Linked DNA regions of Danio rerio. The protein of the gene in region 3 interacts with the protein of the main gene of each other region in a biochemical or structural test. Links are inferred from orthologs where the notes say so. Each region holds a gene or a part of one and is shown on either strand. Other genes may lie near its edges.

Region 1 (10,210 bases), on a different chromosome or scaffold from region 3:
AACATGCACATACAAAAATCAACCATTAAAAAAGTTTAACACATTTTCCATTGAATAAACATCAGGGCTCGAAATTGCGACCAGTTTGGTCGCATATGCGCCCGAAAATTAATCTATGCGACCTCATAATATATTTGGGCGCATTAGTGCGACTGCAGATAATGGTTGTAGTGCGACCTGTTTTGATTTTTTGTAAAAACGTGCTGAATCGCTCTTCCCTGCCGCTATATTGGTTCACATTAGCTGTCAATCACTCAAGGTATTTCGCTGTCAGATGACAGGGAAGGAGCTTTTATGACCACGGGGAAATGCAAACGGCAGAAGAGTAAAAACTTAAAGCACACAGGTTTGCAAACCCCACCTAAAATTGAGGTGCAGATGAGAGCGATCATGACACGTCACGTGGTGAATAATGATCCGCCAGCTGAGATCAATCGAGTACGCGCTTCTTGGAGAAGGCGCCCGAATCTCCATGCGTTGCATTCACTGCGTGTTCAGCGCAAATGTCCGCTAAAAGTCTAATCTAATACCATCGCCAAAGAACCCCGCCTTTTCTAAGTTTACACTGAAACTGCGTCTCATAACAAACAGCGGTATTCCGCCGGTGGTCATCGCAAGAATCTTGCGCTGCCTGCTCATAAATTGGGTCGACTGACTCGCCTGCTTTTCCACTAACACAGAAAAATGAAGATCATCTCAGACTGAACCTTTAAATTGACACAAACTGAAACCAAAACTTTTAAAGAGTGATAGAAGTGAGACTTTACTTTCTTTCTTTTGTCTATTCTTTTTTGAGGTGTATATTAATTTTATTTTTTATTTATTTACTGATGACTGCTTTGCAGCTTTCATCATTGAATTGAATGATTTATTATAATCTTTTGTTTGTTTTGTAGCAGAAATATTATTTATTAAATTGACATGCATATAAATACAGCAGTACAAAATACATATTTCTTAAGGCAATGCTTCATTTTTGTTTGATGCAAACTATACAATTATTTTTCATAAAGTAACAGACTTTTTATGGCAGATAACCTACATTCATGCACATTCAAGGCAGTATCATAATGAGAAATGTAATTCATTTTTACTATTATTGTCATTTTCATCATCATTAATATTCTATAATTATTAGACATTCATTTTGGAATTATTGCACACAAATATCAATGTCTTCGCAGCATTAGTTAGATAGTTGTTTCTGGTTTTTGTCAGTCCTATTGATGTTGTTTTAAAATACAATAAATCCCTTAAAAAGCAATTTGCAGCGGTGCTCAATCATTTTTGGTGGGTGCTCCTAATTTTTTTCTGGTGCTCCTAAATTTATTTTGGTGCTCCTAAATATTTGAAGTTGGGAGCACCGGTGCTACCAAGTAAAAAAGTTAAATTCGAGCCCTGAACATACATTAATAATAGTGGCTAAATGACAAGTGTCAATGTATAATTTTTTTATTTTCTTAAAAGTAACATGGTGCCAATATATAGAGCAGTCTAAAGTCTTCTTAACGCGGCTGATTTAAGGCAGCCCTAAAGCGGGTCTGTGTCTGCTCAAAATTCAGTGTAAAGATGCTTTTAACGGTTAGTGTACAGTAAATATAAATTTTTTGCAAATTTAAGCCGCTTTAACTTTGATTTATGTTCCACTTTGGCGTGTAAAGATGCTATACATCTCATATAAAGAAATAGAAATAAAACAGAGCAGTTTTGTGCTAGATTAGAGCGAAATGAACTCATACGTCTCTGTCTAATCATCTTTGAAAACTCTTAATTTCCTGCCTACTTTTCTTTTCTGGAAACTGACATCCTCGCCCATACAAACGCTCACTGCGATGAAGAGTGCCGCCTGATTATACCAACCGTCATACACTAACTGGATAAAATATTGCATTGGGGTGAAGACGGTTTTATATTGACACATTCAGACTTTCTTCTTAGTAATATAATTTTAGAAAACAGTTTCTTTGCAGGGAAATTATATTAGCCGCCAATGACTATCAAAGTAAAACAATAATTCAGACTTCGACAGTAATTAGTCTACCGAAATGTGTATATTCCATACAAAGCATGAAACTGATCGGACAGTTCTTGTGAAGTGACTCAGGGTTTCAACTGATGTGCCTGGAAAATGAGAGCATGCGCAATATGCTCTCCCAATATGTATATGTATGCAAACCGCGCCTCCATTGGAAATAAGCTTGTGCACAATAATGACGTGATACTTGAACGACTCCATAAGCAACTATGCTTCTCTTCACATTCAAAAGGTATCTTCATTCACAATCCTGCGCAAAAATCCAATTTAGCCTGTTTAGGCTGAGTCGAGCCGCTGTGTTTTTGGGTGCTGTGTCCTCCTTGGTTACAATGCTTTCTGTTCAAGTGCTCGAACAAGTTGCTAGTCGAGTTAAAAGCAGTGGAAAGTTCTTGAGAGACTGGACAAGACTGCCTTTCACAGCAATATTTTTGTTTTTACGCTTATTGAAATCAAAGTTATGTCTGTATTTCCACTTGAAGAAGCAACCACTCTGACCAGCAACTATTTTAGCTTGCGATCCTTAGCAATTTAAAAGCACTTGCTCACTAACTACAGCGAAAAACATTATCTAAAAGAAGCATTTTTTCTTCTAAAAACTCTATTTTTAACATAACGCAATTACATTGACTTTAGTAACTGAAATCAAATTACACAAATTTACAATGTAATTCGGTACATTACTGCATTCCCCAAAAATGTAATTAGAATACAGAAACGCATTACTGTGGAACGCATTACACCCAACTATTTAATTTAAGGCACTTCCCTGTGATATGGTATTGCATATACTGTTATTGCGATTGTTTATTAATATATTGTGCAGTCCTATAGCCAATAAGCTCCTCTTTTTTAATGTAGTTTTTTGTCCAAAGTGTGTGAATGTGTATGAACAGACAGATCTCTGAGTTGTGCAACAGGTCATCAGTGTCTAACAGCATGACTGCAAACTGACTAATGAAGCCTCCCAGCAGTGCTGTAGTGCTGACTGGAGCGTAAAGCCATTAAGCGTTATCCCGGTGTCCTGTAGAGACTGACCGTGTTGCCTGGCTGCCGTGAACGCAGAAGCGTGAACTTGCTGTGGTTCTTTTTGCTCCTGCTTTTGGCCTTACGTAGCTCCTCAGACTTCTCGTAGTCTGTGAGATCCACCACCTCCTGAATTTTCTTCTCATCTTTTACCTGCGGGAGAAAGTACATAGATGATTTCAGTACTTTTTGGTACATTTCAGTGTTTACGATATGATATGATGTGATACATTAAGCTTTACTGTCAGACTTTTTCATATCAGCATGTTACATACTTTTTACAAACAAACAAGACACGTTTATTCACTTTTTCTTAATCAGACACACTGTGAAAATGTTCTTACTCTGTTAAACATCATTTGGTAAATATTTAAAAAAGATAAAAAAAAATTCAAAGGGGACTAATAATTCTGACTTTAACTGTATGCATGCATGTATGTATGTATGTATGTATGTATGTATGTATGTATGTATGTATGTATGTATGTATGTATGTATGTATATATATTAGAGCTGCACAATAAATCGTAAAAGGGTCGCGATCTCGATTCGACCCCCTAGACGATCTTAATCCAGCATTTCTGTCAATTGTATTTTCAAGTTCAGGAGAGAAGCAAAAGTGGCCGCACAAGTCTTCACATTGTTTTACATATGTTGATCAGCAACTTGGACACCTCCAAATGGTGTTAAAAGAGTCACATACTGTATTTATAAGATACAATTTACCCCAAAAATGTCATTTCTGTCTTCATGTAATGTACTTGCGACCACAAAATCACACGCAAGCTGACCGTCAGCTGTTATCACAGAGAGGGCGTGCGCGCGCTGAATGAAGTCTACTTTAGTGAACAGAACCTGCATAGACTGTAAATAAAAGGTGAAATGAAACCGAAAGCGCACACAGTGTTGCCAGATGTAGCTGACCGATTCCAGCCCAAAAAGTATCCAAAACCTGCCAAAATGCAAAAATACCCTTGTCCAGTCCTCTGTATTCACGAAAATCACGTCAGTGACAAATTTTAAGCAAAAAATTACAGATTGACACAATAACACAAAAATTCAACAACAAAATTATCATCAGCATTAGTGACCAGGACAAATCTAAAGTCTGTTCAAGTTAAAATGTTTTAACCAACAGTACAACTACACAAAGCTTATTGCTGTTTTACCACATGTTTAAGAACAACAACAATAATAATAGCCCACTCATATTAACCTTTATTTTACATCTACAGAATCGTGAGAAAATCGTGATCTTTATTTTAGGCAAAAAAAAAAAAAAAAAACGTAATTCTCATTTTATCCAGAATCGTGCAGCTCTAACATACACACATGCATACCATACAATACACAAAAAAATTCGTAAACGCAATAGTTTATTTTGTAAACGACTTTCCATTAGTCGTTTAACAGCACTAAATTAAAACAGACAATTTAATTCCATAGAATACGCTTTTTTTGGCCCAGCGTATCCCGATTTACTGATTACACTGTGTGTCCTTACAGTATTTACCACTTGTGTTACCGCATTTTTAGGATAAACAGCGTTTCAGCTCTGTGTTTGGTTTCGACCAGTTGTGTCAGTAACATCAGTAAATGACATCCAGATGAGCAACGGTGCTGACTTTTAACTGGGACAGACGTCAAAACATGGCTAGTAAACATCACTGAGCAAAACATGAAAGTAGAGAGCCTTTTAACCCAGATTCACAGTGAACATCAGGGTCTGATTTGGTATCACCTGCCAAAAGTTCTCATTAAGTCATAATCAATTTCCATTAGCGCTAAACTGAGGCCTAAAAAAAACGCTATCTATCAACACAAGGCCACATCTGGACCTGTGCTGTAGCCCAGAGCCGCTAAACAGTGCAGTGCTGGCATCACACCCATTGCACCATGGGGTGTCACCACAGGGAAAGCCTGTACAAATAGTACATCTACTGTTCCAGCAGTACAAAGACGGCAATTAACTAGCAATCTGATCCAGTCCTCTTTTTGCAAGAGAGGACCGTCGGAGCACAGTACATTTGCACTCAAAACCCGGACATTAGAACGATTCAATGCTATTAGATTCAAGATTATACTCAAGTTTGCTGCTGTGACTTTTAATGCACGAAATAGTGAATCAAAAGGAGGCTTAAAACGATCCATCTGAAGTAAAAATGGGGCGTGATACCACATTAAAGCTTTATTTGAGGATCTTTATTTCAAACGCATTAGCTGTAAAATGAGCCTGATGGATCTGGGGACAAATCTGCCACTGTAAAAGTCTGTAATCCGAGACCATGCTGAGAAAAAAAATCATTGAATGAATGTGAACTTAAGTACTACTTTTGCTCTTTGCTGTTTTAAACTGAGTAGGCGCAGCTTTGAGTCTAAATGAGTGATTATATATTAATTTAACAGCATGTTTTTATGCTTTATTTAGACTTGACTATTCAAACTGCCTGAGCTGGCAAATGTTCGAGCAACAAGGCAATTTTCGCCTCGGTGACCTTTTTAACTGCAAATAAAGTGTCATCTATATTTAATACTATGTACATTAAGTTTTAAACAAGCGCTTCATTTTGCGGAGGACACACACAGCGTCACACACAAATAGCATCCTAAACAACCAAAAGACAGTCGGAGAAAAAGGTTTGACAAACCTTCCCCTTTCCAAACAGCAGGAGCGAAAGGAAACAAGTACTACTGTGAGAATAATTTCACAGTCTTGCCATGCTGTCTGATATGCACTCTGTAATCATGCTTCTTTCTGTTATGTAACTAAAGCTGTCTGGAGCCGTAAACAATATTTTTATCATGTGTGATGTTAGAAAAATGTTCCGGGTTCAGAAAAAAAAACGAGCTCTACAAACAGCATCTGTGGCGTGCTGTCGAATGCCAGAGAAAATCAGTTTGACACAAATTTGTGTTAACAGTAATACCATTATAAAGGGAGTTAAAAGGGAAATTCTAAAGTACAGTTAGTCATACTGAATTGCTGTTTACAATGGTTTTAACACAACTTTACAGTTCAAATAACAGAATTTAAATACTTAAAGGGCCATGACACCCCCCACTTTTGGTTAAAGTCTACTTCAGAATTTTTTCAAAAGATGCATGATTAGACTCAACTATTTAGTCTCCACTTCACTTCCTAATCTGCAATTGCCTCTTTGAATATCACACTAACTGTACAAAAAAAAAAAAACTAATACTACTAATACTTCCCTTCTTAGACTTTACAGACCTGAAACTTGCCTTTAGTACTTATTCATTGTTGCTCTTAGTTGTGTAAATTGCTTCCTTGTCCTCATTTGTAAGTCGCTTTGGATAAAAGCGTCTGCTAAATGACTAAATGTAATGTAAATGTAAATGTAATGGGCGTGGAGCTCCGCGAGCATCGGGCAGGAGTGGGCGTGACCAGCAGGGGAGAACGTGAGCGAATGAAGCTAGCTCACAAAATGAGACAAACCGTGAGGAGACGCATGAGTTTATAGTTTTCAAAGTTAAAATGCAAAGAAATAAACAGTAATTTAATGCCCTGCTACATTTGTTATTCGTAATTTCATATACACATAACCACAATTTATATCATTATAAAGATAATCGTGTTCATGTACACACTATAAATGAGGACTTCTCCCTCAATCCCTGGGTCTGAATCATAGATCTAAATGCAGACTCAGTGGAGCAGGTCTCCTGACCTATCTATTTTAACCATTAGTCCTGCTGGTAATCTGGAGGATTTAGGCAAACACAGCAGCACGGCGATGTGTCTGAATGTGAATGAACACCTGATACAAGACAACATCCGCCATTCTCCAATTCTCGTGCTGCTCTCCCGACAAAAATGCTTGCATCACACACACAGCTTTGCTGTATGATCGGCCCTGACAGGATCCCGGGGAAAAACATGCAACAAACCCCATGGATCATGGGAACAAACACATACGAGCCTTCATAAACGGCTACTGCGTGCCGTGGGTCCGTGTCTCACAGCTTGAACTTGGCACTGGTCTGGCAGGTCTGCGTCTGAGTCTGCCTTGCCTTCGGAAAGTACGTGCTCATGAATAATTAAGGAGCCGGCTCTTCTCATAGGATAAGAAAACTCCGCTTTGAATAATAATGAGAAACTGACACGTCATCAATGCACTTGCAGTACTGCGCTACATCGCCAATTTTGATCCCGCCCTAAAAATCATTTTAAACCCGGAAGCTGAAATTAGCTGACAAAAGCTCAAAATTATCCAGTTTTCCCCACAATTAAAGCTGACAGATGCTAACATTGTCTTAACTGATGCTCAACTCACACAAATCTGTTAATAAAAAAGAAAAAATTATCCAGGGTGTCCTGAACCTTTAAATAGTTAAGCATTGGCAGTTTTAAATATATTCAATAATCTGTCCCACTTTAAACATATACTTAGCACATTAAAATATAAATACAATGTACTTAGGCCCAATCCTAATTCTATTGTTGTACCCCTCTTCCCCTTGAAACAGAGTGTGAAGGGGAAGGGCTTCGAAGTGTACCCCCAAGAAATGGAACAGCACTACAGCACCTGCACACGTCATCATATGTCGTACTAAATATGAGTTTGATGATGGCGACTGCTGTAGTTATTACAGTTGTGTTATTTTTTGGTATTTATCTTCAGAAAATCACTGAAGGCATATATCATGTTATCATAATGATATAATGTGGCAATAAGATCGTAACTGTACTGTGCATTTACACTGTGGCTATATTGATCTATGTAAACACACAAAAACAACATTAACATTATAACAGACACTGTAAAAAAGCTCATTCCCAGCCTCAAGACATTACTGACAGGGTATTCGAGTGTCATCGAGTGTCAGAATGTTGTGGAAATAATCTAATCTTGCGATGTGACTATTGTGCATCCAGACATTGCAATATCGCTGTTCAAATGATATATTGTGCAGCCTTGGTTTCCTGGGTGTACAGAAAGAACAGCGTTTATTTTAAATGGAAATTTTTTCTGTGTAAATGTCACTTATGATGATTTTAATTGCTAAATATAACATCATACTAACCCCATATTTTTGAACAGTGGTGTTTATTGATAGATGTATTTAACACTGAAATACTAAGATACAGAACCGCTTGAAAATGCGAAACATGCTCATATACTCAACAACTAAACTGTATTCTGGAGAATTTTCTCTTTTTCTTTTGTTTTGAGAGCAGGTGGACCATTCACAGTGTTCGTTTCATGTTTCACTGTCTTTCAAAGGACCGATGAAGTTCTGAATTGAGCTATTCAATTTCATATTTACTTTCTCCGTAAACCATTTAACCTTTCATAAATGTCAATCAGAACCACAAACTCTTGCGACAGAGGTGGCATCATCGCAGAAGCCAAATACCCTGAAAAGGAATTTGAAATGAATGCTCTTTGGCAATGTGTCCCTTCAGCCCACACATGCAAAATTCACTGTAAGATGTTTTAAGTGTAAATCTGTCAATAAAATGGCAGATACTGATTTATGATATAAAAGCTGCATGAGAGAACTTGCAGGCTAAAAAAAGTATGTTGTACAAAATATACTGTTACTTAAACTTATTAAAATAAGTTGATGTTTCAGATTTACTTTATAAGTTATATAAGAGATCTTGAAAAACTACTTATGAAGTTATTTATTTTACAATTGTTTTTACATTTAGAGGGACAGTTCACTCAAAAATGACAATTATATCATCATTTATTCTCCCTCATGTGGTTTAAAACTTATGAGTTTCTTTCTTCTGTTAAACAAATAGCAGGGTGAAAATCGCCATGGAAGTCAGTAGATACCAGCTACAACAAGCATTCTTCAAAATATCAACTTTTTTGTTTAACATAAGAAAAAAAAAAAATATGTTTTAAACAAGAGAAGGGCGAGTAAACAATGACAGAGTTTATCCCTTTTTACACCTAATATTAACATGCGAATAGGATAAGGATATGGATGGCAGCTATGATTTTGATCATAATCCATGTGTTCCTTGTACAACATAAGCATTACATTTACATTAATTTAGCAGACACTTTTGTCCAAAACGACTTACAATTGAGGAGGCATTCAGCGATTCAACAAGAAGAGGCAATACAAAGTAACTTGTTTGTGCTCAGAGAATTTAGTAAGTCTTTTTTGAGAGAGAGTGTGTGTGTGTGTTTCTACAGGTGGTTTGTTAAGCCCACACTGTATGAGGCACACTCAGAATTTATAGTATTTTGGGTTGGTGAGTGATGAGCTGGGGAAGAGAAAAGGGGTTTAAGTTTTATTCATAATGGTACATGTGCTCTTGGGAAAAAATGGTTTAAAGCATAGTAGGTATACCTTGATTTAGTGCTTTTTCTTACAACTCTTCCCATAACAAAGAGGTGGGCAGTTAAATTTGCCAAGGGGCCACATTAGATTAGGCAGTTTTAGAGGGCCAGACCAATGCAGTTAATTTTTTTATTTAATTTGTGTAACTATAACAAACATTCATAAAAAAAACTGTGTGATTAATCGAAATCGAATCGCGATTTGAAACGTTGTGATTAGTTAATCGCAAAAGGCTGCGATATAAAATATTATTTGAGTGAGCACACCTTCTTTCTGCCCAATCAAAATTGTGCAACCGAACTATGTGGATAAAAAAACAATACGATAAAAAAACAACAACAAACAAACCGGAAAGCGCGGACGAGTGGGATGATGGCGTCTGCCACTTCAAAAGCATTAATAGACTAAATCATATCGAATAAAAGCAGGACTTCAGCAATAAGGGAATATTTTGGTTTCAAAGTCACAAAAAACTAAAGATTAATGTTTGATAACTTCATGTGTTATCACATGCATTTGTGGCTCGTGATGCAGGTAATTTTTCATTCCATTTTCAAAGGACAATTATATATAGATGCAATAATTGCAGAATTTTAAAGCACTTTACCGATTGAAATGCTTCTTATTGGATATGATGTCATTCAATGTGGCTACGCATGACTTTACTGAGAGCTTACAACCTATAATCTACAGTTTGCTTTAAGAACGTTTAAAAAAAAATGTAGTTACAAACTAGGTAGTAGTTACAAAGCCCCTAGTGTGGACTTTACCTTTCATTTTAAGAAAGGACTTATGAACAGCTGGTGCAACCCTACCCAGAGGATAATT
Region 2 (10,210 bases), about 2.9 Mb from region 3:
TTAAAGTGATTTTTCTGAAGGGTGCATTTCCAGCATACCCGTCAACCCTCCCGTTTTTCCTGGGATTCTCCCGCATTTTACAGTTCTATCCCGCTATCATCCCATAAAGGTTTTTTTTCTGTATTTCTCCCATATTTTCAGTGTTTCTCTGAAGGGTGGCAAATAAACATTAAAGAGCCGAGCCTCCCTATACTCAACCCATACCGCCAAACCACCAGGGGCCGCCCCTTGCTCTTAAATGCGATTGTTCTGTGCTTTCGCTTTGTTTAGCCATGAAAATACTTTGAAATAAACATAAAGACGGCACAATTCCCTTTCTTTTCATTACAGGTGCCGTCTCCCCTTCATATGCAATCCTCAAAACAGTCATATAGCGGGGAGTCCCTTATTATGATGGGCATATCCCTTATTTTCACATCCCAATGTTGACGGGTATGATTTCCAGACTTCTTAAAAATGCAAGAACTGCATAATAGTTTGTTAGTTAGTTCGTTTATTTTAATATTGCAAATGTTTTGTTGCCATCTGAAGTATAAATCTGTCATTCATATATATGCAAATATATATGAGCAAAATCACATGAGTAGCAGTGCAATATGGCTGTATATGGGCACTGGTGAAAGGCGTGCGTTGGCTCAGGCCGAGTGCCCTAGTGTCCCACCAGGGACGATATACAACCACATCGCACTGCTACAAGTGTGATATTGCTTTAATACAACAGTTTGATGGCATAATCGTGTATTTAAAAAAACCAAAAAACAAATGCAGTCTTAAAACCTTATTTTGTACAAGGAACTACTTCTGTTCTTTCATTTTTAAAATCTGCAGCTGATGTCAGAACAGCAGAAACCATTGCTACTTCACCAACATCACTTTAGAGCTAGTATGATTCTCTAGCGTAATGTCTAAAGTGATGACAAGTTGCAATCGAGATATCACAATAATTAACCCCGAAAAGCCAAAGCAAAGCAAACACTACCAGATAACCACAACATACAAAAGAGCAAAATTTACTTAGAAAGTCACTTACCTGCCTAATACAAATTTGATCAGCTGTAGTTTAAAATTACGTAGAGTTTTTCTGTCCAAAGGACATATTATGTGGTCTATGTTGCCCTCTTGTGGTGGAGCGTCAACCATGGCTCTGTTCAGTATGACAGGTTGATGGCCACCGGCACACCAAATGTCTACAATTATAAATATTTAAAATAGACACTATCCTTATAAATAATCTGCAAAGCTGCAATCTAAACAACCACATTCCTGCCTTAAAAGGCCTGAAAAATACATTATGTTGTCCAACAGCTGCAATATTTGTCAAACTGTAGTGAGTTTATTGATCTGTTGTGGGCGGAGTAATACAGAAGGGTGAAGTGGCTGTATAAGTGCTGTTATTGCAGAACATATATATTTAATTTATATATATATATATATATATATATATATATATATATATATATATATATATATATATATATATATATGTGTGTGTATTCAGATATTTTTCCACATTAATTTAAAAACGTCTACATTAATAAATATTAAAAGTGATTTTTATACCAACCACTATTGAACGCGCTTTCTGAATCATTAGCATCTCCCATAACAAAATATCAATCCACCACTAGTGCCCCCATGTCGCTCACTAACCCCTCAGTGTGTAGCGCTATTCTCACTTCCTGTGCACAGCATTTAAGAGTACACTTTAGATAGACTGGTCTTAGCTCTTGCACATAGTTCTTGACAGATTGGTTGCAGTGAGGTGTATCGTTCTGGTGCATTAACGGCAGGAGGAGAGCTGGAGCTGCGGAGACGTGCCTGCTTCTAATGCAGATACGCAGTTTAGTGACATCAAAGCTTTGGTGTGGATGAGATGAAAGCGGTCCTGCAGTGCCAGTGTTTTTTTTTTTCATCTTTTTTTTTCTGAGGAACATTTGTCAGGCATCTGGAATCCGTTTTACTTGGCATCAGTAAACCAAGCCTCTGCCGCCCACCAGCACTCCTGCCCACTTCAAGCCCAGCAGAACACAAACAAGAGCCTTTTAAATACAGACATCCTTACGGGACATCTGTATTTCCGCTACAAAATCAAACGCGCCATTACGGCCTATTTTATTGCAGAACGAATGCTTTGGTGGCTTTTTCAAGTGCTTTTTGGTTTGTTTTGCAGGCATAAGAATATGAAGAAGCAGCCCTGTGAGAACATCACCGTAGCCTATTATTTCTGCGGTGAACCCATCCCATACAGGACGTCCGTCAAGGGGAGGATCGTCACGCTTGGACAGTTCAAGGAGCTGCTCACTAAGAAAGGGAGCTACAAGTAAATGCACTTTTTTAATGTTCTTTGCATGAGTGGGTTATTGAGTTCATTCTCCTATTGATTTTGTCCAATATTCACATTTAACATGCTACAAACAGCTTTTGTGAAACAGAAAAAAGAATGAAATGATGGAGAATTAACTGCTTGGAAAATGTAAAATAGAGTAATGCTGCTGAAGATTTCCACTAAATATAAAGGTTTACTATGTGACAGTAAATGAGTAATAACTTCAAATAAAAATATTATTAATTATAATATATAAATAGTAATTATATAAATATTATAATAAAATATTATTTATTAAATAACTAATAAAATGTATGCTATGAAGTCAGTTTTATTTTTCTTTCTTTTTTTTTTAATCCTTTTAATTTTGGATCTATTTTTTATGTTTAAAATATGATTACCAAAATGTAAGCATGTGTAGCGAAATTGAAACCCATGTAAACAATTGGAAAAATGCAAGGACAAGTTATTATTTTTAAATGATGATAACTTTGTATAACTTTCTGTTATATGGTAAATTCAGTTTAAATTTGATCATTGTCTTCATTTCAGAAATCATAGAGCCCTAAACATTGCCATTGAATGATTCAGTTATAAATATGAAAATATGTTAAATGTTTCAAGCAATCCATCAAGCAATATTGTCTCAAAGTTTGTAATGAGTAGTTTTTGTTTTTAAAAACCCTTTTAATATACTTTTGCTGTCTTTATTAAATCTAAATATTTTCTGTCACTTTTGCATGTAATTGCATAAAAAGTATCTCCTCTAATGCTTGGTGGAACTAACACAGGGTTTTTTGATGACAGAAGTGCAATTAGGGCATTGCCAACTTTTGTTTTTTTCATTAATTTACACAGCAATACCAATTTGCAAGTTAAAAAAAACAAAACAAACCTTTCAATAAGTTCTGAAATTAATATATATATATATATATATATATAGGCTTGTGATCTTGCAATTATAAAAATGGGTGCGATGGGAACCGTTAATGGACAAACCATCAGGCTTACCACATTCTATTTATAAAATAGCTACAATTTGCATCAAAGTGGTTTAGTAATTTTACTTCTCAAAACTTGAGCCTCCAAAAGCCGGCGTGCTTTCATTGCATTTTATCTTTGAGGAATTTATTAAGAAAAAAGACCTACGTTGACTTCTTTTTGATATTTGCTGCCAGGTCATTAGAAAATTATGTGCAAAATTGTGTTTTATGTGCACAATTATAATTTGCAGCTTTAGATGGAAATTAGCTATTGTCTTAAGCAAAACTTACAGAAAAAAGGATTTTACAACCGTGTTTGTAATATTGATGATACTAGATTTTTCATTATTTCATTATTGAATGAACTCTCAACTTCCAGTATCAAATGGCCTCAAATACTGTGCATGCGGAAAGCATTCCCAGAGCTTCACTTTTTCCTTTTTATGTTACAGCCTTATTCCAAAATGGATTTTTATTTAATTTATTTGCTTAAAATTCTACACACAATCCCCCATAACGACAATGTGAAAAAAGATTTTTTTTTAATTTTTGCAAATTTATTAAAAATAAAAAACCTGAAAAACCACATATATGTCAGTATTCACAGTCTTTGCCATGAAGCTCTAAATTGAGCTCTTGGTTTTGAGCTTTTGGTACATTCTGTTTCCAGTGATCATTCTTGAGATATTTCAGCAGCTTAATTGGAGTTCACCTGTGGTAAATTCAGTTGATTGGACATAATTTGAGAAGGCATGCACCTGTCTATATAAGGACCCAGGGTTGACGGTGCATGTCAAAGCACAAACCAAGCATGAAGACAAAGGAATTGTCTCGAGGCACAAGGCTGGGGAAGGTTACAGAAACATTTCTGCTTCTCTGAAAGTTCCTATGAGCACAGTGGGCGTCTATCATCTGTAAGTGGAAGATGTTTGAAACCACCAGGACTCTTCCTATAGCTGGCCGGCCATCTAACCTGAGTGATCGGGGGAGAAGGGCCTTAGTCCGGGAGGTGATCAATAACCTGATGCTCACTCTGTCTAAGCTCCAGCGTTCTTCTGTGGAGAGAAGAGAACTTTACAGAAGGACAACCATCTGTGCAGCAATCCATCAGGCCTGTATGGCCATTTCTCGCCTGGAATTTGCCAAAAGGCATCTGAAGGACTCTCCGACCAAAAGAAAAAAAATTCTTGGGTCTGATGAGACTAAAATTGAACTCTATGGAGTAAATGCTAGGCATTACGTTTGGAGAAAACCAGGCACTGCTCATCACCAGCCAGAGCCCAGATCTGAATCCTATTGAACATCTCTGGAGAGATCTGAAAATGGCTGTACACCATCACTTCCCATCCAACCTGATAGAACTTGAGAGGTACTGCAAAGAGGAATTGTCAAAAACTCCCAAAGACAGGTGTGCCAAGCTCGTGGCATCATATTCAAAAAGACTTGAGGCTGTAATTGCTGCCAAAGGTGCATCAACAAAATATTGATCAAAGACTGTGAATACTTATATACATGTGATTTTTCAGCTTTTTTATTTTTAATAAATGTAATAATCTTGTTTCTCATTGTCATTATGAGGTATTGTGTGTAGAATCTTGAGGAAATAAATTAATTTAATCCATTTGGAATAAGGCTGTAACATAAATGTGGAAAAAGTGAAGCGCTATGAATACTTTCCGGATGCACTGTAATTGCTGTAGTATGTTTTGTTTTTGACTGACCTTTTTCATTGTTTATCTCTATTTCCCCAGGTATTATTTCAAGAAAGTAAGCTATGAGTTTGACTGCGGAGTGGTGTTCGAGGAGGTACGCGAAGATGACGCCATCCTGCCCATCTTCGAGGAGAAGATCATCGGAAAAGTGGAGAAGGTCGACTGAGGCCGGGACGGAGGCTAGAGGAGAGGAACTCGGGCTGTGGAGGATGACAGAATGGAGCTGCAGTGAGCAGGTGCTGAGTTTGGTACAGCGAACGTGGACGTGCTGGAGAGCCAGAGGTGCGGAAACGAGGAAGAAGGCTGTGGAAAGTACACTATTTACTCCGAGGCTTCAACCTCCGCTCAACAGAAGTGCTCGAGATCACTGCGTTGGGCACCGATAGCCCTCGGACTCACTCACTCACTCACAGAGAGACGCAAGCTGGAGGCAGCGTCCTCTCACTTTTGCTATATTTCTAACTCTGAAAACTGTAGCAATGTAAAGTTAGCCTAGAAAAAAAAGTACTATGAATATGTTTACTAAAGCTGCATATTTTTGATATGACGTATTCAGAAGGAACATATCCTTTCTAATTTAACAACTCTTGTAATTTTATATGTACTGGTACCAGATGTGTACAGAACTGTCTGTTTAAAAGGAAAAAGAGAAAGTTTTATATCTATTTAAATATTTAAAAGTGAAAAAAAAGGACAAAAAAAACTAAAAGAGAAATCGGTTCACCCATATCAAAGCTGCGGCATCAACCTGACCCCCAAAACGGTGGTAAGTTTTCAAAAGCCTGTGGTTATGGAGGAGCAGGAATCATAACCCACGCTTTACCAAGTGCTTTTAACTCCCATCAAGTCCGCACGAGAGAGGGAGGAGTCAGTCAAACGCCGCACTTTCCACTGCATTATGCATTGATGTCAAAGGAGAAGCTATACGACGATGCCTTCACATTGTGTTTGAGTGATGTCACGACACGCGTAGTGCATAATTATTCCTCCCCTTTGAGTGCGCTGACATTTATCTCCAGATTGTCGAGTGGAACAATGGTAGGTCTGTAGTTTTATCTCCAAGGTCTCTTTCCAGGTGCTTGCGTGCGTGAGATCTGCCTGTTTAGGAGCAGGAAATGTTTGAGCCTTGTGGAAGAGAGGGGTCCATCATCTATCGAGTGCCATTGGACAATATAAGGATCATGTTTACACTTACCTTAATGTATTACAGAACAGGAAACAAATAAAGAATTGTAGCCTTTTAGCTTAACACGGCTAATTGTGGTGCCTGGCGAGAATGAATTGTTTTAAAACGTAGTTTTTAGCCTACCGTGATCTGCCTTGTTGAGATCACGAAACACCAAAGAGAACAATCTATCACAGGAGTCGACTAAAAACCCGTTTGCGTTGTTTCGGCAGCAAAAACCAAGCTCCTTTTTAGAGTTTTCAGGCTGTGTTGTAACGAAACACTGAGATAAATGCTAGGGAAGGCCTGGCGAGATTGAGCCAGATGTGGTGCTGTAACGTTAGAATGCTTTTATTTTTATTTTGTCGTCGTTGTTCTGGCATCCCATGTTAAAGCTAGTTTTTAAATTTGAAATTCTCAATGTTAAGTGGATTTTAAGTTGCCGTTATCAATGTTTGTCATGTTTTTTAGCCCCTCCCCCTTCTGTTTAAATTTAGTTCTTCATCAACTTGAACAATATGGGTACTTGATGCAAACTATGGAACATTTCTCATATGTGTGTTTTTGATTACGGTGTAATTGTCAACTGGGATGTAACTACTGTGAATAGCCTGAACGTGAGCTCCTCTCACTGAACGATGAATGACCTGTACATAGACGTCACAGAGTGCCTTTCTGACCATTCTCTCATCTCTGATCCACTGTCTGCTCTCCTCACTCCGTGTGTCCAGTACCAGGGACTCGCATTATGTTTTAAAGTGTCCTAATTTGTTTTGTTTTCGTTAGTTTCCTATGCGAAGAGCATCAACACACTTTAAGTCTTTCTATGTAAATATGTACATTTTTTTTTTTTTTTTTTTTAAATGTGTCTTCAACTACAACCAGCAACCCGATTTGGAGATTTAGTGCCCTGGTTCTGCTTAAGTGTGCCGAGTTGTACAGTTATCATTTTATGGTACTTTGGACAATAAAGACATGTAATGAAATACATCTGGAGTCATCCTGTTCTTTCCTCGAGTCATCTTGTTCCTTTCTCGAAATATAAATGACGTGTTTGAGTGTGTTTTAGTTTATTCATGTATGACTTTTTGACTTTCTCTCCAGCAATTTAAGTTTAGAAAGCCTTTAAAAAATAAAGACTAACAGATGATGGCGCTCTTGTTTCCTAGCAACTGTTTCATGATGGGTTTTGCCAAGATCTCATGCAGCCGACGGCTGAGGCTCCACATAAACACTGAATTATGAGAGATCATTTAAAATACATGATTGGGAAAGTCTTTGATCTGCAGTACAAGAGATTTAGTTTGGATTGAGAAAAGAAATCATTAATAGAGCTAGCAATAAATAAAGACTTCTGCCTTATTCTCTTGTTGGAAACTTATGCCTTGATACCCTTGTTGACTCTAATGTACGTCAGTGATTGCATTGCGTATGTGCTTAAAACTGATGGAACCCTTGCACCATCTGATTTGAAGTCGGAAGTGGGAAAATCCAAGTTAATATTTCCCACATAACCTAATTTTGCGTTCCAGTCAGTCACACCACAAGATGGCACCATGAGTCAAATAATTAATTTCTTTGATCAATTATGACTAAATCGTTATTTAAAGCAAATGACTTGAGTGCCCAAACTCGATCCTGGAGAGGCAGTGTCCGGCTTAGTTTAGCTCCAACTTGCCTCAACACACCTGCCTGGAAGTTTCTAGTATACCTAGACAGAGCTTGATTAACTGGTTCAGGTGTGTTTATTACATACACTGAATAATGTTTTTATTATGTACAGTGAATAAAGTAATGGTGCAATTATAAAGTAGCTTAAGAAATGGTATGTACGTTAATGTTCAGTTCTTTTTCACTTTACAGGCAATGAAAATAAACATGAAAATAAATCATTTGCTATAAAAGCTCCTTTCAAATGTCTGCATCCTGTTGGCACTCGATCAGGTCGCTAGACTGGAAATGTGCAGCTACTCACTCTTGTCTTTTCTGTTACTGTAAAATTCTAATGTCGAAAATTAACAACCCAACTTTTCTGCATGACTTTGTCTTTTGGAAATGTGTGGAAACTCAAGAGTTAAATTTCTCTGAGGCTGTATGTTGCTAAACACGGCAGTTGTAGCTAGAAGTACTGTTCTCACGTCTTTGTAATGACACTTTAAAATTTAAGTTTAGATATCATATTCATGTGGCTGACGTAAACATATAAGTGTGCTATAATGGCATGAAACATTAAGGCAACTCTCCAAAGCGTTAGTTATTTTGATCTATAGCGTTTCTGTAGTAGCACAGTACTTTTACATTTTACTGGAAATGCGTCTGGTGCCACAGTGCATATAGCCCATTGTGGCTGAAGCTAAAATCTGCAGGACACCGACCCTCCAGGACCGAGTTCGGGCACCCCTGGTCTAGATTGATAGTGATTATATGCTCTTTGTTGAATGCAGTGGTGTTAAACTTCCTAGAGGGCCGCAAGCCTGCACATTTTAGTTCCAACAAACTTACCTGTAGGTTTCAAACAAGCCTGAAGGACTGAATTAGTTTGATCAAGTGTGTTTGATTAGGGTTGGAACTAAACTGCAAAGCTGCGACCCTCCAGAAACTGAGTTTGACACCTGTGGCTTAAAGAAGGCTTTCCCAAAATCAGGTTTATTGCCATTTGTTGTACAGTGGCATCCAGTTATACTGTAGTTGTTAGCTTGAGACAGCTCTCTGTTTATTTTGCTACTGATCTAGGTGAAGATATTAGTATTCTTGAACATTTCTTATTGGATATTAATATAATATTGCACATTTATCTAATGCAAAATAATTAGTCATAACTAGAAATTCTCATTTGTCGGCATCATTTTGGAAATGACCTCACATTTCTCTGTGATCAGGCAGGAACGACATAGTCTTCTAATGGTATAGATATGATTCAATAGGTATGTATTTATATGCTTAATATTAGTCATATGCTGCTTTATATGTTTTAATACGGAGTTAATTGAGGTGGGTGTAAATGCTAGCTGCAGTGACGTCACAATCTTGCAGCATTTGTTTTGTATGGCCAGAAAACTACACACTGCGTCACAATTCGCATACTAACTATCCTAAAGAGTATTTAAAATAAGAATTATCCCAAATCATAGTATGTTGAAAAGATTGTGCCAGGGGTGTCCAAACTTGGTTCTGTGATCAGGCAGATATGCCTTGGTTCTGCAGATATGCAGATTTTAGCTTGCCTCAACAAACCTGCATGGATGTTTCTAGAAAGCCTAGTAAGAGCTTGATTAGCTAGCCCAGGTTTGTCAGATTGGAGTTGAAACAAAACTTTGCCGGATATCGGCCCTCCAGCACCGAGTTTGTATATGCTCGGAGTATGCCAAAGGTTCCCGGATGGTTTAACTACAGGGGTGTCAAACTTATCTCCTGGCGGGCCGTAGCTCTGCCGTTTAGCTCCAGCCCTTCAACACTCCAATCTAGGTTTTAAAGAAGCCTAAAGCACTCAATTTGGTTGGATTAGGTGTGTATAATTGGGGTTGGAGCTAAACAGTGCAGGGTGGCCCTCTGAGTATGACACCTATGGTTGACTATTTTCAGTACAATTTTTGAACCGTCCCGCTGATATTGCCCACAATACATTGCGCGTTAGACGTGACTTCGAATAGAACGAGTGAAAAGTACAATTTAAAGTACAAACATGATGGACCTAGTAGGCTTCAGTAATGATTTTTTTTTTTTTACTGTTAATAGCCCACTGGAAAATATTTAAATCACATTTTCCGTGTTATATATCTGCAACAACAACGTGACGTGATCTGAACGTGTTTGGACATTACCTTGTGGCATAATTATCCAAAGACCTGAGGAGATTTCTCTGCATGAAAGAGTTGTGAATGGCAGATTAACCTGCTGCTGCATCTCCAGTAGTAGATATGAAAGAAATGGATGATGTGTGGATTACAGGGCTCGTAACAACGTAACGAAATAAGTATGTCCCAAAGCTTGCATACTCTCTTACATACTCTAAAAGTATACGTTT
Region 3 (10,984 bases):
TTTTATTTGCTTTTAAAATAGCAATTTAGTTATTGCAGAAAATATCATATTTAGCAAACAAATGTGCAGCATTTAAGAAAAAGATGAAAATGCTCTTCAACTTAAATTTGTTTCAAATAATTTTGTTTAAAAATCAAGACTCAATCGAAAATTGAGACATTAACTTCATGAATCGTATCAAATCATAAGTCAGGTGCATCATTAAATCCCTGATAATGATATATATTTCGATATCAGTTGGTAATGCTTCCAGATTTAAGAGTATCCCGACAATGACTGAAGCCACAAAAATTAGAGTCCATTAAATTGCATAACATATTTTCAACCGATAAATTTTCAGTGGCCCAAAAATTGGTACATCTCTAATATCAAAACACTTTTAGATTTCAATTGTTGCACATTTCTGATGTATGATTGGCTCTTAGATCAATATAGAGTAAAAAAAAGTCCAGAGCTTATCACTGTTATTGACGAATGTTATCGTGATTCAATATTATATCATTTATCAGCCCAGTTTAATCCACTTAAATTTGTTCAAATTAACAAGTTAACTTAATTCCTTCATGTTGTGCCAACACAAATCCGTTGTGTGAAAGCCAGCACTTTTACAACGTAGAGTTTTCACTGGCTGCCAATGGACAAAGTCTCCTTTGATCATCTCTCAAAGACATCAGTTTCTCTAATTTGTTGATATTGTGTTCACATTTTGAGACAAATCTGTTATTCTAGCACAACTTTTATTCATTTCTTTTTAACTTTGGATACCTGCAAATCTATATGTGACACCTAAAAATATTAGAATATGGGCACTTAGGATAGTCTATTCAAAAGAAGAGTAATGATGACCAATTTAGGGCGTACTCACACTATGTTATCCGAACCGTGTTTAGGCCTGTTTCACGGATCGTTTGAGAGGTGCGAGTACTCTAAATTGGGCTCAGGCACGGTTCACTTGGCCAGCCCTTGTCCGGTTGGAAGAAGTGTGCCAGAGCGTGGTTCACTTGGGCAATAGCGCGGTACGCTTGTGTGTGAGAGCAAAACGTGCTTGGGGCCAAAACTGAAAGAGAGACGTGACTTTTAACGGACTGTTTGATATGGATTTATCAATCATTCTTACGGTTCAATGGTCGCAAACTGTCGTAGATTATTAAAGACGCAAACCCATCACTGCACGAAAGCTGCACACCTTCAGCAAACCTCCTAATTCCTGCAGCACGTGGACTATGACTGTTTATGAGCGTCAAAAGTGGCTGATCTGTTCGGCTAAATATTTGAAAGCGTGTCACTACATATCAAACAACTTAAACGATATAACTAAAGAAATCTCCACTGTGCTAAGCGAGTGCACTTACTGAACAGCGCAGCGTCGATGACGTAAGCGTGCCCAGGCCCGAATGTAATGTGAGTGCGGGCCTTCGGGGAGACGGGAGAGGGGAAAAACGTGCCTATGCCCGGTTCAAGGCAACTGTACATAGTGTGAGTACACCCTTAGGCCCCGTTTACACTAGTGCGTTTTAGTTTTAAAACGGCGTTGTAGAATGAAAACGATCCGCGTCCACACTCGCGTTTTCCCAGCGTCTCTGAACAGCTCTCCGTCCACACCAAAACGCTGAAAACGCACATCACGTGACCACACACACACTCTCGGGCAAGCGCTCCAGCATTTCTACCCAGATGAGAGCTCTGCTTGTCGGACTGCTCATCACGCATCTCCCGCTGGATCTAATCTCACTATATTTGCTAAACGTGATATTTCATTCATGTTGTTGTCTTTATCTAACGACATAGGCCAATTCCCTGACTTTGGTCATTGGAATCTATTAAGTTACTTGTTCACGGGTAACATGTTTTGGTTAAGCGCAAAGATAAGTTAATGATTAATCCAGGTACATTGACTGATCGCTTGCCTTTATTTCCTACAATGTATAAACTTATTGTATGTTATACTTTTATAATTATCGATTATTAAAACTGATATTTAGCAAAAGAGAGGGTGCGTTTCGTATTTTCACTGAAATTGAAAGGAAACAGTTGTTATAGGCTCCGTTTTGTTATAAATATCCACACAGTGAAGATGACGCCCATATATGCAGCACGACGCCTCAACATTTCTGCTGTCTGTTAAGTTGCTAATATTAAAAAGAAAATAGGCAGTTCCTTAAATCATGTTTACATTTTATTGTTGAGAAAGTGAAACAACATAGCCAAGGTGATGTGAATGGAGTTATAAAGTACACTGTTCCCTTTGAAGATTTACCCGTGTCCTCCGTATGTTTTCCATATCAAACTGAGAAAGGGGAGACTGCAGCCTTGATCAAACTTGCGAAGTCTTAACTTACAAGAAGAGGATGCGAGACTGAACTGTGTGTGGGCTACTTAATATTGAGGAAAAGCCCCAATCAGATAGGCGAACGTTTGCAGCCCCGCCTCCGTTTTCAGATGTCTCCGTTTTTCCCTATCCACACTAAGACGGAGCAGCAGCGTTTTAGAATGAAAACGGCCTCTCCAGCGTTTTCAAAAAGCTCCGTTTTCGGCGCTCGAGAACTCCGGCGTAGTGTGGACGGATGGCGTAACCGTAGCAAAACTTATGCGTTTTAAAACTAAAACGCACTAGTGTAAACGGGGCCTTAATGTCATTTCATGCCTGTGGATTTCTAGAGTCAAAGAAGACATTTTTAAGAAATTTGGTAACGACAACACTCGAGCCCATAGACAATTCTCTTTATACTGACAATTCTTTTATATTTCACAACATAAGAGCGAACACATGAACTGTGTCTTTAATATTTGATCATTAAAGTCTGTAAAATTCCACTTACAATATGATTCCCAAACTTATCAATATCTTTAGGTAACTACTGTTTATAACAAGAATTAGATGCAGTGCTTACCAAAAACCTTTTTTTCTTCCAAATATACCCAATCTGAGAGGAAACAAGAATAAAAGTGAAAAACAATGTGCTCTCCCTCCAAATGCCTAAAGGGAGCACTTTTGCATCTACTGATCGCTATCATACAGATAAAAATCTTGCAAGCTTTCGTAACCTAAATCCTCTGGACTTAAACGCCCTGCGAGTCTAAACAGTGAAGCGGCCATTGAGGAGATTCAACACTCATTGTTTCATGAGACAGACATTCCTTGACCAATTAGAATTCCTTTCATGGGCCCAGGGGGGAGAGAGCAGCACAGCTGGAGGCGCTGGGTTTGTCTGCAGCCCGACAGCTCGCCACCTCTGCTGTGGACATCTCTTCCACAAACAAACTCTCAAGTGGCCACAGAGGAGATGTTGCGAGACACAAACACATCTGTGTAAAGTAAAGCCCCGCTCATTCAGAGCTCTCTTGTTTGTGTGGGAACAAAATGTCTTTATATGGTGTCGTAATCGCTTCCATCAAAGCATTCAGAGTGAAATGTTGGATGTCAAAATAGTTCTTTCAGGAAAAAGAGGGAACATGGATTATGTAGTAAATTATTGTACATCTACATAAAAAGCAAACTAACTCACTTTATAATAAATCAATGGCCATTAATGAAATGATCCACTTCACATTAAAGAAGAAAAACGCTGTTGGGTAATCTTAGTTCATTCAGATTAAAAAATTTTAAATTATATAAATGAATGCATCAAATTAATCGAATAGCATTTTTTTATTTAGTAAGTTGTATTAGGGAATTTTATGGCGCTAGATTATACTTCTGAAATAGTTAGACTCCATTTGTGACCACTTTTTGGGTGTAAAAAAATTTACATTTCAAACTTAAACTGTTATAAATTGTGACCGCTGTGGAGCACGTAAGCTTGGTCACTTTTGGCAGAGAAAAAGTTACAGAATTTTACAATTATTGCTATGAAAAGAGCCGATACGCTCAAAAAAATATGTTTGTTGTTTGTTACGTATTTATAAATTCCGTTTTTTCAAAAGGAGCGGAAACACAATTTTTGAGTTTTTTTGTGGGACAACTTAATTGTTTTATGTTCAATCCACTTAAATGTGAAAACTATAAGTTAAACTTAATTCCTTCATTTTGACCCTACAGAAATTAGTTATGTAGAACCCAGCAGTTTTTACAGCGCATGGCAAAAATATTTCGATATAAGTTGATAATGCTTCCAGATTTGGTACATCTCTAATATCTATACACTTTTAGATTCCCATTGTTGCACATTTCTGCAGTGTGATTGGCTCCGAGATCAATATAGAGTAAAAAAAACTTCCAAGCTTATATTTGTTATTGACATCAATTTTATTGCGATTTGATATAATACCATTTATCGGCCATATCGTTATATGACGATATAAATCATCTTTATGGCATGAAATGTGTATATTAATTTTATTTTATTCTGTGTATACCACCAAATGTAAATAAGTGGGAGTGGCGAACTCACAAGCATTATGCATAAGGCCAAGAAAGACACTACATGGGAGACTGGCAGTGTTGCCAATCGCTTAATTTTTTCAACGAGAACTGATCACTTAGTTTCAGTATTTATCCATGAATTGTAATTGAGGAGTTCAAATGCAAGAACCTAGAAAATGCCATCTGAAATTTTCTTTCAAACTGAGAATTTTTTTCAGGCTCCTGTGTGTAAGTTTAGTAATAAACACATTTATAGCAAATAAGTCATTTTTATGGTCTTTAAAGTAAAATAATTCAACATAAACAAAGGAGGTTGAAAAATAAAAGTTTATTTTTGATGGACATTTCAGACAGCGCATAGAGGTTTTAGCATCTGAACTCTTGAATTGTTTTTATTTTGCATTTTTAAAGGAATAAAAAAAAAACAGTTTGATATTTCCTTAACCTTTTAACCGCCCACCAAGAAAAATATTTTTGGATTGCATTTCTTAACTCGTAATGTCGCTAGTTAAAACACTAAATCAATTTTTTCCCCCATAAACTTACCATAATCCCATAATTTCTACAATATTAACATGTACAAAAATGGTAGAAATGTTAATTTATAGTAAAACTACAGAAATTAATTCATATGCTATGAAAAATATGAAAGTATAAAGTCTAAGACTATTTTATATTTTAAAATATAAAAAAATAAACATTTTTGAATACCACATGAATTTTTTTGATGTATGCCGAAGTGGTGCGACAGGATTTTCTTTTTTTCTTTGTAAACCAACAATGCTGTATTGTGTTAACCATTCTTTAAAACTCTCTTTAAAATGACTTTAACGGTGATTATTTAAAACAGTAAAAAGATGGTCAACCGTGTGGTAGAGCAGGCAGTTATAGGGATAAAGTTTTTTTTTTTTCCATAGGATAGTTTTGTATCAGAAGATGATGTGTGAAATGTTTATAATAATAAGGTCTGTCCACATAAAACTGTGAAAATGTGAGAGTGTAATTCGTTCATTAAAAGTTATATTTGGTTTACAATATTTATAGTAAAGTTAAAATAAAATACAAAAATAATCTAACAAGATTGAGTCATCTTCTTTCCTTAAATATTTAAGCTTAGTTATTTCACAAAGCTTATTTATTGCACACCTTTTAGTAAATTCTCTGGAATAACTACCCTCATAATAAAACTATATCATGAAAGATATCATCTAATGTGAAATAAACTTTCTTCATTTATAATTTATATCTGATGTGGTTATATTTGACTAAAACACCACAAGCATTTGCATTTTAAAAACACTTTCTTATCATGATAATCACATTTTTGCTTGTTTCCTTTTGTTGTGTGTTTGTGTTAATGGTAATGTGCCAAAACGTTTAGTTTTTCATACCATTATGAAGACAAATATGAAAATAAATGACTGAACCGCAGCAGAGCATTAACGTTCATTTCAGCATTTACCAAACTACTGCAAAAGTTGTATATTTTAAAGCTGTCTCTGAGCTAACATTGACAATGAACTGTTGTACTCTGTAAACAAAAGATAAAAACGGTTCAATTCAAGTTTACTTCGTTAATAATTATAATAATAAAGCAGCTTCACAAAGGGTACACATCATTACTACATCCAAAATCAACAAACCACTGTAACAAACACACTGCTCAATATAAATGAAGGGCATTAACATTTACAAATGAAACTTCACTTTTAAAATCTAATATACAAGAATAAAGAATAAAACGTTTAATCTGGTCTCTACTGAGTCTATAATAAAATGCAAACCACATAACCTTGTCATTTGGCGTTTACCAGTCTTCCTATTCCACAAACGCTTTAAAGGGCACTGATAAGTCAACATCAGATCTGGTTTAAAAAAATAAAAAGGCAACTGTAAAAGCACTCCTCCAGGGCACTGTCACTATGTCTGTGATGATATCAATGAGATCAGTATGCATCTATCATATCCTGTTCGTTTCCAAGCAAAGAGCGGTTTCAAAAGAGTAAGGAAAAAAATCCTCCCCCAAAAAACCCATCTGTGGATTGTGAAACAGTACACTATCACATAAAGATCAACCCCATAGTTAGCTTACTTCCGAAAGCAAGCACAGCGCAATAAGCAAAACATTAATGAACAGTCTGTCACGTATTAAAATCTTAATTTACAACGAAGACACTGGCGTCCAGATGAGGGGAAACCGAGAAAACAGCTGCCTCTGCCTCATCCGGTTTATACTCAGCTGATTTATGACTAATCCAACCTAACAAACTGTGCACGGGGAGCTGCTTTCGGCTGATAACGTTCACACAAGTGCAAATAAAGCAGGTCCACTGACTATTGTGCTGTTTATTAAATAAAAAAGGGATGCTTCTCGTGTTAGCATGCGTTTAGCATGAAGAGACAGGGCTGCAGCAACTCGCCTCAGCAGAAGCTAGCAGGATCCTCGCTTAGCGTTTTACACACATTTGCGACCGACACACAGTTATAAGCTAACCAAACGTATAAAATGATAACTAACAACAAATTAGTACATTAAAGCGATAAATTAGCGTATTAGAGGGTGTTTTACCTGTCAGTCGGATTTTGATGCTTGACCCGTTCCTTCGAGTCCCAGGATTCGACATCACTCCCACAAAAAAACCAACGAACTTTCTCTCAGGATAAACCCAAGACGCTCGCTTCACGAGGATATAAAAACGTATAAAAACACGCGACGCGATCGTGTGGCCTGTGCATGTGTTTCTCGGCGATAAAACGGTATTATTTCCGTCTGGCAAATCCCCTGTAGCTTTCAGACTTAACAACACAGGCTAACATTTTTTGAGCTCAACGGCGTTCTGACATCACGTTAGTACAGCTGTACGTGCACGTACCCGCGGCTGGGCGTGCGCGCGCTCTTCTTCCTGGCGCTGGAAGTCCGTTTGTGTTGTGTGATGTAAAAAAGGATATTAGTCATGTGTGTCCTGATTTCGAATTATGCTATGAAATTTCGTGCTTTGCGTGTTTTTCCAGCCACGTCAGCTGAAGTGAATTGATGTATTTTTTAAGTAGACCAAATGTTATTAAGATTAGATAGATCTAAACAACAATAAAAAGGATTTATTAATAAAATAAATACAGGATAGATAGATAGATAGATAGATAGATAGATAGATAGATAGATAGATAGATAGATAGATAGATAGATAGATAGATAGATAGATAGATAGATAGATAGATAGATAGATAGATAGATATGGATGGATGGATAGATAGATAGATAGATAGATAGATAGATAGATAGATAGATAGATAGATAGATAGATAGATAGATAGATAGATAGATAGATAGATAGATAGATAGATAGATAGATAGATAGATAGATAGATAGATAGATAGATGCATGGATGGATGAATAGATGCATGGATGGATGGATAGATGCATAGATGGATGGATGGATGGATGGATGGATGGATGGATGGATGGATGGATGAAAGGATGGATGAAAGGATGGATGGATGGATAAATGTAGAGATAGATAGATAGATAGATAGATAGATAGATAGATAGATAGATAGATAGATAGATAGATAGATAGATAGATAGATAGATAGATAGATAGATAGATAGATAGATAGATAGATAGATGACTGCATGGATCTGGGGCAGATTGATGAATTTGTTTGTCATTTTCGCAGCATCCATAACATTTTAAGTGACCTGATTAGCATTAGAGGTTGTTGTTTTGAGTTTGAGTAATAAATAATGAGATGATGGATGCAGATGATTTCCATTACATTTGCATGATTGTGATTGCATTAATTGCGGCTTGATAATTGTCGCGTTGTAGAAGCAAATAAGGTTAGCCTGAGCAATAGTGGAAGGGATTGGATTGGAGGACTTTAGCAACTGGAAACAATAGAGCCATTTAATAGTGTTGTGCAGAAGAAAAGCCAATCCACGTAAACAGCAGGCTAATGAGGGTGGCAGGCCACACACTGGCCTTTTTCAATCCGTCACCACTTTAATGAGCAGAGAGCCATTGTACTCTTGGCATAATAATGAAATGTATTTGATCTGAAGACTCATTAAAATGGAAACAAATACATATTAATGCAATTAATTAAATCAGTTCATTGTGTGGGATGCAACGTGGCTTAATGAGGTACATCTGAAGATGAAACATTGACATAAATGTAAACATTAGAATGTATTGACTGATCAGTTTAATTATGTAAGGTTTTGACACTTTATTCCTCACATAGATATTGATATGATATTGAATAATAGCTCAGTATGAAATGGTCATTTGACTCTAAGGAAATTACAATAGCTATACTATAATAAATATATTGGTCACTCTTTTATAATATGCACTTAATTCACAATAAATATGTAATGAATATTCAGAAAAATAGCTTCAGGTATTAACTGTGGATGCATTTGTGTGATTTAGTTGCACTAGAAAGTGATTATAGCACTGGCAGTAGTAATTAAATGCCAGAAATGAACTGTGAATCAAATCAGTCATTTAAAACGTCCATCAACAGTCAAAGCAAATGAAAATGTGTATGCTGGAAGCCACTCCAAATGTGAAAAAAAGGCAATCGGATTATGGGAAGACGCGTTGTTGACATAATTAATCAATGGAGATGTTGACGTGGCTCACTTCTGCCATCTCTTGGTCATAACAAGGAAAGAAAGACAGGATTTGATTGGCAGCTAAATTAGTCAAGGGCCTCTGAAACTGAAAGGACAAATATGTTATAGCGAAAAACACTGTGTTTTCTAGTAGCCTAGAAGTGTTGTTTTAATTAAATCTTGAATAAACCCATAAGCACTTTGTAATGTGGTAGGCTTTGAAGGAGAAAACCATGTCTATAATGGGAACTTTTTGGTTTTATTGTTAGTTGATTTATTTTCCTTTGGCTGAGTCCCTTTATTGATCAGTGGTCGCCAGCGGAATGAACCGCCAACTTCAGCATATGTTTTACACAGCAGATGCCCTTACAGCTGCAACCCAGTAGGCCTACTAGGAAATACACACTCATTCACACACAAAAACGGATAATTTAGCTAACCCAATTCACCTGTAGCGCATGTCATTGGACTTGTGGGGGAAACCCATCCCAACACGGGGAGAACATGCAAACTGCACACAGAAATGCCAACTGACCCAGCCGGGACTCGAACCAGCGACCTTCTTGCTGTGAGGCGACAGTGGTTTTAATATACACAGGTAAAAACAATTGTTCACATATTTAAATGATTCTGCTAATTTGTGATTTAGCCGCTGTATAACTATTTGAAAAATCAAGTTTAGCAACCTCAGAATATACAGGCCTACTGGCTGGTTTGAGAAGCTAATTAATGTGTGCGGTACAATGACTGTAAAAAATATGGACGACGCGACAGCCCTTTTTCCCATTGAACGCCTTGAGGGCAAAACGCCTGCTTGACGGGCACAAACTGTCGCAAAAGACTGCTGAAATTGGAGCCAGACATGCGCAGAAGGATTGTCTGATGGAGCCAGAGGAGGAGCCGCGAAAATGAGCAGAGTCGAGCTTCCAACCAAACGCTTTATGTAAAATCAACCACGCCCCCCGAACTTCTCAGCATGCGTTTGCTGTCATATCAACACAAATGGATGTAATAACGTTAACAAATATGAGGGTTTTATAAATTCAATCGCGCCAGCTCCAGGCCGCAGCGCATAACTTACTCGCGGCGTCGCGGGCTGATTCCGGCTCGCATGCGGCAGCGCCTGCTCGCTCGGCCGCCGCATCTGGCTCGATTGACTCGGACTGGAATCGGGCAGTGAGTCCAGGCATCCGGAGTAGGTCCAGCAGAGGTAACATTAGTCAGTCTGAGCTCTAAGAGATATGTCTCCGGCAGGCGAGAATCTAGCCGGAACTGTGTTTTGCTATCTGGGTGGCTAGGCGTGTATCAGCAAACTAATAAAGCCCGAAAAAAGCCCTGAACTTAGCGAATAAACAGTGTTCCACCAGGATCATGTATGTCAGAAACTATAGTTTACTGCTGAACTCATTTTGTCATGGTAAAATAACACAGAAATCGAATAATAACATTTCAGTCTACTTCATTCTCCTGCCGAAGCTCAGACGCCGCGCTTTGAGAAACTGTCAATCACAGCTGTGTATCACGATGACACGCCCAGCATTAAATTACTGCTAAAAACAAACTGTTTACAAAAATGAAGATCTGCACCTATTTCAGCACAATAACCAGTGCCTTAATCGACCAGAACTATCTTTCGGGACATTTTATTGCAAGTGTAATATTTTTTTTTATTTGGGCTCAAGTCTCCTTCATTAACACGGAGGAGGCGGGCTTTATGACTTGTACTGCAGCCAGCCCCCAGGGGGCGATCTAACGGCCGAAACCTTCACTCAAACGTAGGCTTGCGGCACACTTGGTGCGGTAGTCAGAAATAGCTTGTGTGTATCCGGGGAGGAGCATATGTGTTCACAGCTTTGAGTTAGTCTTAATGATCCCCTAATGTGTCCACACATGCTTGAAATGGAATATTCCACCAGGCGCTCACACACTGTGTGTGAGATAATAACACAACATCACAATCAAGACATCACAAACAAAGCTGCTACAATTACAGTGTCCC

What was found.
Region 1: the proteins of smurf1 (region 3) and plekho1b form a complex in vitro, tested with the Homo sapiens proteins (4 studies listed by BioGRID and IntAct). The link is inferred for Danio rerio from reciprocal best matches to the Homo sapiens genes SMURF1 and PLEKHO1.
Region 2: of the proteins of smurf1 (region 3) and axin1, one has a biochemical effect on the other in vitro, tested with the Homo sapiens proteins (2 studies listed by BioGRID, with this or other methods). The link is inferred for Danio rerio from reciprocal best matches to the Homo sapiens genes SMURF1 and AXIN1.

Annotation. Positions count from the first base shown.
Region 1 is NC_133191.1:42,446,314-42,456,523, forward strand, and holds part of plekho1b (pleckstrin homology domain-containing family O member 1b), read right to left. Parts: intron 3,212-10,210; coding exon 3,071-3,211; intron 1-3,070. UniProt on the Homo sapiens protein: Plays a role in the regulation of the actin cytoskeleton through its interactions with actin capping protein (CP).
Region 2 is NC_133178.1:42,645,717-42,655,926, reverse strand, and holds the end of axin1 (axin-1), read left to right. Parts: intron 1-2,170; coding exon 2,171-2,320; intron 2,321-5,060; coding exon 5,061-5,187; 3' UTR 5,188-7,174; downstream 7,175-10,210. UniProt on the Homo sapiens protein: Component of the beta-catenin destruction complex required for regulating CTNNB1 levels through phosphorylation and ubiquitination, and modulating Wnt-signaling.
Region 3 is NC_133178.1:39,715,803-39,726,786, forward strand, and holds the start of smurf1 (E3 ubiquitin-protein ligase SMURF1), read right to left. Parts: upstream 7,206-10,984; 5' UTR 6,988-7,205; coding exon 6,933-6,987; intron 1-6,932. UniProt on the Homo sapiens protein: E3 ubiquitin-protein ligase that acts as a negative regulator of BMP signaling pathway. Mediates ubiquitination and degradation of SMAD1 and SMAD5, 2 receptor-regulated SMADs specific for the BMP pathway.